Linked DNA regions of Rattus norvegicus. The protein of the gene in region 2 binds, or shares a complex with, the protein of the main gene of each other region. Links are inferred from orthologs where the notes say so. Each region holds a gene or a part of one and is shown on either strand. Other genes may lie near its edges. The genes, in order: Izumo1r and Izumo1.

The links.
Region 1: the proteins of Izumo1 (region 2) and Izumo1r are in contact, whole or in part, in a crystal structure (PDB 5JKC), measured with the Homo sapiens proteins. The link is inferred for Rattus norvegicus from reciprocal best matches to the Homo sapiens genes IZUMO1 and IZUMO1R. Residues at the interface, in NP_872381.2 of Homo sapiens: Met75, Val77, Tyr134, Val141, Leu146, Trp148, Lys150, Asn151, Lys153, Glu155, Val156, His157, Ala158, Arg160, Lys161, Ser162, Tyr163, Asn239, Ser240, Ser241, Pro242, Ile245; in NP_001186135.1 of Homo sapiens: Lys42, Tyr44, Glu45, Ile48, Leu58, Trp62, His65, Leu66, Asp67, Gly80, Leu81, Leu82, Met83, Pro84, Gly85, Arg87, Ile91, Met145, Ser146, Tyr147, Gln171.

What each region holds. Positions count from the first base shown.
Region 1 is NC_086026.1:20,026,574-20,031,174, forward strand, and holds the start of Izumo1r (sperm-egg fusion protein Juno precursor), read right to left. Parts: upstream 3,006-4,601; 5' UTR 2,951-3,005; intron 2,894-2,950; exon of another isoform or gene 2,523-2,893; intron 1,752-2,522; exon of another isoform or gene 1,736-1,751; 5' UTR 1,733-1,735; coding exon 1,595-1,732; intron 1,040-1,594; coding exon 851-1,039; intron 102-850; coding exon 1-101. UniProt on the Homo sapiens protein: Receptor for IZUMO1 present at the cell surface of oocytes (oolemma), which is essential for species-specific gamete recognition and fertilization.
Region 2 is NC_086019.1:105,226,405-105,230,646, reverse strand, and holds the start of Izumo1 (izumo sperm-egg fusion protein 1 precursor), read right to left. Parts: upstream 3,045-4,242; 5' UTR 2,823-3,044; intron 2,130-2,822; 5' UTR 2,052-2,129; coding exon 1,817-2,051; intron 1,207-1,816; coding exon 1,132-1,206; intron 348-1,131; coding exon 261-347; intron 1-260. UniProt on the Homo sapiens protein: Essential sperm cell-surface protein required for fertilization by acting as a ligand for IZUMO1R/JUNO receptor on egg.

The DNA.
Region 1 (4,601 bases), on a different chromosome or scaffold from region 2:
CAAGTGTGAGATGTGCGGCAGTCTTTCCACCATTCCTCACAATCCTCCAGGCACAGTGGCACGTCCCAAAGCCGCTGCTCTTCCTGCCTGTTTGGCACCACCTAGGTGCAGAAGAGAGGGGCAGAATTTAACTCTTTACAATGTCTGTATTATTTCTTCTATGTGTCCGTGTGTTCATATTCTGTAAATGCAGGTGAATATGCACGCATGCGCGCCAGCAAGCGCACGCACCCGTGCGTCTGCAGTGCCCAGAGAACAACTATTGTTCTTCAGGCCTCGTCTACACTGGTTTAGATTCTCTCATTGGCCTAGAGTTGACTAAGCAGGCTAGGCTCATCGGCTAGCAAGCTCCAGGGACCCTCCTTTCTCTGCCTCTGTAGTGCTGGGATTACAGCCGCATATCTCTACCCCTGGCTCTTTTGTGTGGGTTCTGAGGATTGAACTCAGGTCTTCACACTTGTGTGATGAGCACTTTACTGACTGAGCCATCTCTCAGCCCTAGGTACCACCACCACCACCACCACCACCACCACCACCACAATCATCATCAGATAAAAGAACCGTGAGGCAGAATGGCTATCAGTCCCAGGTCTCACAGTAAGTACAGATGGCTAGATTCATCTCATCCACCCAGCCTTATCCTACTTGCCCTCTTCAGTAGTGTCTGCCATGCTATCCTCCAGAGACAGAGGCAGTCTAGCTTCCTCTTCATCCCTTTCTCCAGCAGAGGCCTCTGGCTCTGCTCCTATCCCTAGAGGGACAGCATCTCCTGGTCCTACTTGCCTCCTGTAGATGCCAGCCTAGGACTTAATGGAAGGGTGTTGCATGGGTCTGCCTCCTGTCTCCTCACCGGCTGGATCCAAGGCCCCAGGTTGGGGGAACACTCATAGAAGCAGATGGCCTGGATGAAGTGCTTATGGCAGAGCGGGGTCAGCAGTCCACAGTGCGTCATGCTGAAGTTAAAGAGCAAGGGCTCATCAAGGTGGGCTTCCCAGCTTGTGTCGCGTGTGCAGCAGGCATTGTCCTTCCAGGGCATGCACTGAGGCGGGGGCAGAGGCAACAGACGGTGGGTAAGAGGCTGGCTTGGGTGGCTTGGGCAGAAGGGTATCAGGAGAGGGGACGTATGAGCACCTCTGTAGAGGAGGGACTCTAGCATCTGAAGAATGAGGTGCACCTGACCACTGACCTCCTTCCTCCCTATCTTCCTGCCACAAATATAGCTTCCTGCTATCAGCTCCAGGGAGGTAATAAATCCATGAAAGAAAATAGGTTCAGGAACCTGGGTCAGTATGATGGGTGGGAGGGACTTATAGTTGGAATTTAGGAGACTGGAAAGGACACAAATCAAGGTCTATGACTCGCCATGTTGACAGGAAGGCTTGATCTGATCCATGGTTAGCTAACATATCCTCCGGGATCACCACATGACCTGTTTCCCAAGCAGCCAGAGCAGCTCAGCAGCAAAGCCCTGGATGGACCCCAAACTAAGGAACTGAGAGATCAGGGGTGATGGGGTGCAGAGACCATCTTGCCTGTATTCCTTCTCCAATAATTCTAAGAAGCCTCCTCAGCCCCTGGGCCAGCTCCTCTGTACCTCAAAGTAGAGCTTGTCTTCTGGGCCAGGCTCTTGCTTGTGGTGCTTGGAATTCATGCAGACATTGAGCAGCTTGCCCCCGGCCAAGCTGGGCAGGACTGTCCACAAGCCCAGGAGGATCAGCCACCATTGTGCCATGACCTGTTGAGAGGGGAGCCTAAGGTAGAGAGGACATTATTCTCAAAGACCAAGAAGGTAAGACCCACCCTGCTCCTGCCAACCTTCAGGCATTGGAGAGGGAGTAGGGGCTCCAGGGCTCCCTTAGGAACCCTGAAACACTCTGGCTGCTCCTAGAACCTTCTGTGTAGAGCAACATCACAGAACGTAGAGTATGACTTGGATCTGACACCCCAGTACAAACCATGGTAGAAACGTAGACACCAAACTGAGCAATAAGAGGAAAGAGAGAAAAAAGAAAAAGGAAAAACAGACAGACAGCTCTGAAGAGGAGGGCAGGTGGGGAATGTTTTCAAGCTGTGTTCACTTAGATGCGGTTTTGCTAGCTCAGTAATATATGGACTGGGAGTTTAGAGCTTTGGGCCCAGCCCGCAGACAGCTTCTTGGCCAAGTGACCAATCCCAGTAAGCAGATTCTCCTTATGGCCAAAGGATATGGTGGGATGGGGTGGTTGAGGCTGGCCTTAGCTTTCTCCGTCACGTGCCAACCCTAATTCTAGTCCCTAGGAAGGGTCCGCACCAGGCTATGGAGCTTCTCGGAGTAGCTCATCCCCACTCTGTCCCTGCAACCGCTGAGCTCTCTTTAGCTCATTTCAACCCACCCCAGTCTATCTCAGAGACACCCTAAGTGTCAGGCCATAATAGACAACGCTAAGAATCCTGCTGGCCTCTAAGGGCTGGGAGCACAGTCAGGCATGAGGAGCTGAGGAACCTTCCATCTTTAACCCTAGCACGGGAACATGGAGGCTGGCTTGTACCTTGGTGTTTGCGGATACATTTCCAGTTCTCTTCTGGCTTGTACTGGCAATGGGTGGGGGTGGAGAGGATGGACAGAAAGATGTACCCTCCCACCCCCGGCTAGAGCAAGGGTGCACCCTGCTCCAGGAGGGCTCCAGTCAGTCCTCACTGCCAGGTCTTCATGGCTCCTATGGCTCCTAGGCCTGCTGGGAGCATGCCCTACACATAGCAGTTTAGCCTATGTCTACCTCAGGACGTCTGAGATGTGGATTAGAGAGAGACCCAGATTCTACTGCAGAACCCACCCCGACCTCGAAACCTACGGCTGTTTTCCCACAGAGCTCCAAGTTTGCACAAAGAACAACTCTTCTCAAAGACCAGGAAGGTAAGATAGACAAGAGAGGAAAGATGTCAGTCCTCTCAGCGTTGTCTTCAGACTTACCCTCAAGGCAGGGCCCTCTGGTTGCTCTTCCTGGGCCCAGAGAGGTGAGCAGGCTCAGGGCACTCCACCCACTGGCCTTTTATTGCCCTTCAGCTTCTATGAGCTACAGGTGCGGAGAGCAGCAAGTAGCCAGACCTAAGCATCCTCCATGCCTTCAAGATAGAAAAACAAGACGTTTCGGTACCAGAGATCCATGCAGTGGACAAGTTCAACTCTCAGCGCTGCTGCTAACCTGCGAGAACTTGGGGATAGCTTAGATTCTATCAGTCTAGTGCTCTGTAATGAGAGCTGTTGGCAGGGACTGTCAGGAAAGAGAGATCACGAAAAGGTCACGGCACAAGGATGTCTTAACAGTTCCTTCATCTTTTGTTCTCGGAAGCGCGCTCTTCCTCTCCAGTGTTCCACGGGGCCCTTCTTCTGCTCAGCTCCCTGGGGCCCCTGGCTAACAGCATCCTCCCACAGCATCCGGAGCTAGCTTAGCAGCGCACAGGTGCACAGACAGGCAGCCTGGAGCGCCAAGGATTTAAGCAAAAATCAAACCTGAAACAAAAGCCGCCCCTCAGCCCGGGCAGGGACCGTCTGCATTTGTACCCGGGGCGTGGTCTGACCGCTGCTCCAAAGGTTCTGTAGGAGGTGATGCCTGTAACTTTACTTGTCTTTTATGTTCTGCCTCCAAAGGAGAAGTAGCCAAAAATCACTGAAATTTCATACAGAAACATAGTAAATAAATAAATAAATAACCCTCCCGCGTTTTCCGCTGAGGAAGACAAAATACAGCACACGATGTTCGGCTGCCAGTCAGTGTACAAAGCATATTAATTATGTGCAGGGAAAATGGCAGTTTCCACACGCGGGTACAAAGTATTGAACATCCAGAAGGACTAGTCATGGGACTGGAGCCTATGGCACTGGTACCCGGTCTGGCTTACTGCCTGCAAGAATTCCCCCAAATGAGCACTCTCTTTCAGATGTAGGGGAAACCGAGGCTCAGATAGAGGTCCAGAGAGCTGGAATCTGAACGAGGCTTGATTGACTCCATATTTAATGCTTATGGACCAGGTGAGGGAGGGGATCACCTCCAGGACCGAGGGGTAGGAACTGTCCAGGTCTTTTTTAAAAAGTTAAACATCACAGTCAGACTGGGATTAGGGGGGGGCATGTGCTGGCTTTAGGGGTTGGAGACAGAGCGGTGATGTTTATCAGCCCAACTTCCATGTGCTGTCTCCCACAGAGCTGAGACTCCCTTCTGGAAATCAGAGGCCAAATGGGAAGGCATTTCTGCCTCAAGGGTCTCCTTGTATCGGCGTCCACAGGGACAGCAGAGACGGGGACTCACACTTGTTCTGAATAGACACCCAGGGAGCAACGAGTCTTGACAAGTAAGCGATTTGGAATTGAACATTAAGTTTAAAATGACTGTGGATGTGGCAAGAGCAAGAATCCAGAAATGAGTCACACTCATTACTGGAATGGAAAAACGTCCTTCGCAAGGAGGGAGAGGGACAAGGAGGACGGCAGCGTTAGCCACCTCCAGGACAGAATTGTAGGAAACGAGTCAAAGTCGCGGCCAGCATGGGCGCAGGTGGACTGGGGGAGGGGCGATCGCAGAGGCTGCCTTTCGGAGAGCCTCCAGGCCAGGCATCTGTCCCTG
Region 2 (4,242 bases):
CAAACTTGCAATCCTCCTGGAAGTACAGGCTTTACTACCATGCCCCAAAGGGAGGAGTGCATGCTGAACAGAGAGGTCTGAGATTTAGGAGCTGTGGGGCAGGTAGGGAAGGACCTGGGCAAGGTGTTCTTGGGAGTGGAGGCAGAGTTAAGGAACCCAAGGGTGTGTGTGGTGTGTGTGTGTGTGTGCGTGTGCGTGTGCATGTGTGTGTGTGTGTGTGTGTGTGTGTGTGTGTGTCCTGGCCCTCCATCTTCCCTCACCTTCCTTTTGGAAACGTGCAACAAGGGTGGCAAAGATGTCCTTTTGCAAACGAAGCATCCAAAATAGCTCCTTTACAAAGAGCTCTCCTAGGAGAAAGCAGAGCCAGAGAAGAGCCCCCCAAACTCAGGGATGAGGTACAGCTTAGCATCCCCTATACTGTGGCTACCACGACAAGTGACCTCAGACTCACCGTGTAGCTGGGGGCTATCTTGAACACCTCATCCTTCTGCCTCCATCTTCAAGGGTACACCACCACATCCAACATCCCGACCCCTCATTTTTTTTCTCTCTCTCTCTTTTCTGGGGTCTTACCATGTAGTCCTGGCTGGCCTAGAACTTTCTGTGTAGACCAGGCTGCCCTCAAACTCAGAGATCTGACAGCTTCTGCCTCCCCAGGGCTGGGATTAATGGTGTGTCCCACCACAACCAGCGCCACTCTCTTATTTGCTCAGAAAGGATGTCATTCTGTTGTCCTAGCTGTTCTGGAGCTCTAGGCTTAATCAGCCCTCCTGCTTTAACCTCCTGAGTAGCTAGGAGCGCACGCATGCCCCCCCTGTCTGGGCTGGCATTTCATAGTCTAGCCCTTCAGGGGAGAACAACAAGACCAAGCACTGAACACAGAGCTTGCCATTGGGTTATGAAATGCACACGCGTTACTTCACTCAATCCTCACGGCCAGTGAGAGAGGAAGACGCTCACCTCCACGCTGAGGCTGAGGAAGTTGCCAGACCCCAGGCTCAAGGTCACCTGGCTAAGAAGTTGCAGAGCCAGAGTGGCTCTCAAGCAGAGACACGGATCTTCGCATCTGCTTTAAGTTATCACCAGCCATGATTTCTCTAAGGGTCTGCCCATATCCTTGGGTACATTTACCTTTTACGTCACTGTCCGTGATACGTTTCAGATCCTTCAGAAAACTCCAGGATGCTTGTTCCAGTGTGTCCTCATCTGTGTGTGGAGGGCAGATATAGAACCCCAGACTCCAGCTTTTCTAGCTCATTGGCTTGCTACCTCACAGAAAGTACAATACCCGTGAAGCCCTCGGCCAAAGAGAGACCTGGTTAAAGGCCTAACAATTTGCCTTCTGGGAGTTGTAGTTTTGTCATACGAACTTGCTAGACCCTGTACTTGTGAGCTATGGAGAAAGACTTCATGATTCTATATCCGGAGACTTTTCTAATATCTATTAGATAGATAGATAGATAGATAGATAGATAGATAGATAGATACATAGATACATAGATACATAGATAGATACATAGATACATGATAGATAGATAGATAGATAGATAGATAGATAGATAGATAGATAGATAGATAGAGATTTAGAGAGTATGTATCTCTGCCTGTCCTGGAACTCACTCTGTAGACCAGGCTGACCTGGAACTCAGAGATTTGCCTGCCTCTGCCTCCCAAGTACTGGGAATAAAGGCGTGAACCACTACACCCAGCCACTTTTTCATTCTACCTACAGTCCCTGTCACCTGTAGAGGAGGACTTCTGGACCCAGCCCTTCTCCCAGGCTGCCGAGGTCTGCATCATGGCCTGCCCTCCTTACCTACAACCCCCAGAAAGGTATTCTGATTCAAGGGCAGATCAGCGAAGTTCCTCACTTCCTGCTCTACCCTCTTCATTACATCTTCGTGATGCTCGGGCGCCAGGTGGGTAGGCAGGTAATTCTGCTCCAAAGTCTTTATTGCAGCCACCACAAACGGGTCACATATGATGCAGAGCCTTGCTGGACACAGGCAGTTGGCAAGAGCTGCCAGCAAGAGTGTAAAATGTAGCCCCATGGAGGCCAGAACGCACAGCTTGCCAGCACCGCCGGAGGAGGATTCTCTCACCCCAAACCAAGGGCAGGGAGGAGGGTGCTAAACAGAAGCCAAAATCAGTCTTAGAGGATTCCAAAGCTCAATATGAGGATCTTTGAGATATTCCCAAGTAAAAGGAGATATCGTTAATCAAAGACCCAAAGTTGTGAACTCGGACTCCTGGACCTCAAACTTTAGGATCCTCATTGCATCCCTGAAAACTATTAAGCCAGATCCCAAACTCAGGACCACCTCCATCCTCACCCCATTCAGACTTCCAATCCAGGGGCTCACTCCCCAGCTACCCCGAACTCTTATATAACTCTGAACCCAAGAATAGATCAACATTCAGACTTTCAAGCCCGGAAAACATGTGACACCGCAAACTAAACATTCAATAGTCAAACCAGAGAAACAAAAAAAAAAAAAAAAAAAAAAAAACAGGTAGCAGCACTTGGGAGGCTAAGTCAATACCACCGTGGCCTACTTGAGACTGTCTCCAAATTAATTAATTAAATATATAATTAAATAATTTATCTAACAAGTAACCAACGTGGATATTACCAACTTGGATAAACTATTCAGGACAAAAAATTTTAAACCCCAAATCCTTAAAGCTGACACTTGAACCTACAAAAGCTTCATCATGCCTCCAAAGCCATCCTCCAGTCTCTGGGGCACCTGTTTACTTATTCTCAAGGTTGAGACCCCTAGCTTTCAGGACAGACTCTTTTCAGGCCCCCCCCCCAGTACCTTAAACAACACCCTTTAATAGCTGTTCTCCAACTCCGAGCCTTCAAGCGCTGCTTCGCCCAGCTCAGGTTCTGAGGACTTTTTAAAATACTTTCTCACGACTAAGAGTTGTTCCTGGGAGACTGGGAGAGGAAATTAGTGTTTTTCTACTGACTCCAAGAGTCATTTGTCGTCCCCTCTTCACAAAACACTCGGGCCACATCCCACATGTGGGACCCCAATTCCCTTAGAAGTAATTCTCAGGCCTCCGGCTAGAAATCCAACTCTTAAGTTTGATTGGATTGCAACAAAGCAGGCCCCGCCCATCCTACCATGACGTCATAGGGTGGCAGTCCCTTCGTAGAACTTTCCCAGCACCTACGGACCGGAACGGAAGCCGGTAACCTGCTCTAGCCTCCTTTCGTGTCTTCAGAGACCCCAGGTTTCTCGCAAGGTGCCCGCTGGTTGACTAGAAACCTTGGTGTCCAGATAAAGAGATGCGGGAGTCTCTAAACGAGTCTTCTAAACTAGGACTACAACTCCCAGAAGGCACTGGAGCGTCTCTTTATGATCTGTCCCAAAGCATGGAAACCATAGTTGATAGTGATATTCTTCCCTTCTTGCCTCAAGCCCAGATAAGGAGGGGCCTGGATCCAAGCATGGTGACCCACACATGTAGTCCTGGCACTTGGAAGACTGAAGCAGGAAGACTGCCACGAATTCCAGGCCAGCTTGGTCTACAGAGCGAGTTCTAGGCCAGCATGGACTACAGAGACCATCTCAAAATAAGACAAAACATAGGACAGGTCTGGTGACCAGTACCGAAGTTTTCAGAGAAAGGAAAGTGAACCACAAGTCCTGCAGAAAGGGTTACCAGATCTGACTAGCTACTGTATCCGTGAGTCATGAACATGAATGTCCCCGGTAGACACACACACACACACTCACACACACACACAGTTTTATTGTGTTGCACACTCACACATGCATTACACGGTCAGCTCCAAAAAACATCAGATACATGTATTGGCGATGTGGCCCTTTAATTCACAGCCCCCTTCTCTAGCTTGTACAGGCCAAGTTGGGGGAAAGGCACAGAAACTCCCTGAGAAGAATAGAAGTTGGTCTTGGAAGGGAATACAATTAGATTAAATGCTATCTGAGGAAACTTTCTCCGTTCTTGAAAAAGCATCAAGTATACCTGATGTCAGCCAAATGTCCCATCTTTGCTTCCAGCCCGTGTTTTATAGGGACTTAGGCTGAGCTCACAGTTCTGGAACACCTTCTGATCCTTCACCCTTGACCTTCTCAAAGCCGGATTTAAGATTTTGTGAGCCCAGGGGTATACCCTTCTTTTCTGGAGGCCTGGTTACCTCCAGAACACAGATCCCAGATCCCTTATAGCATCTTCAGAAGAAGAAACCTTCTCGATCCTAAATTC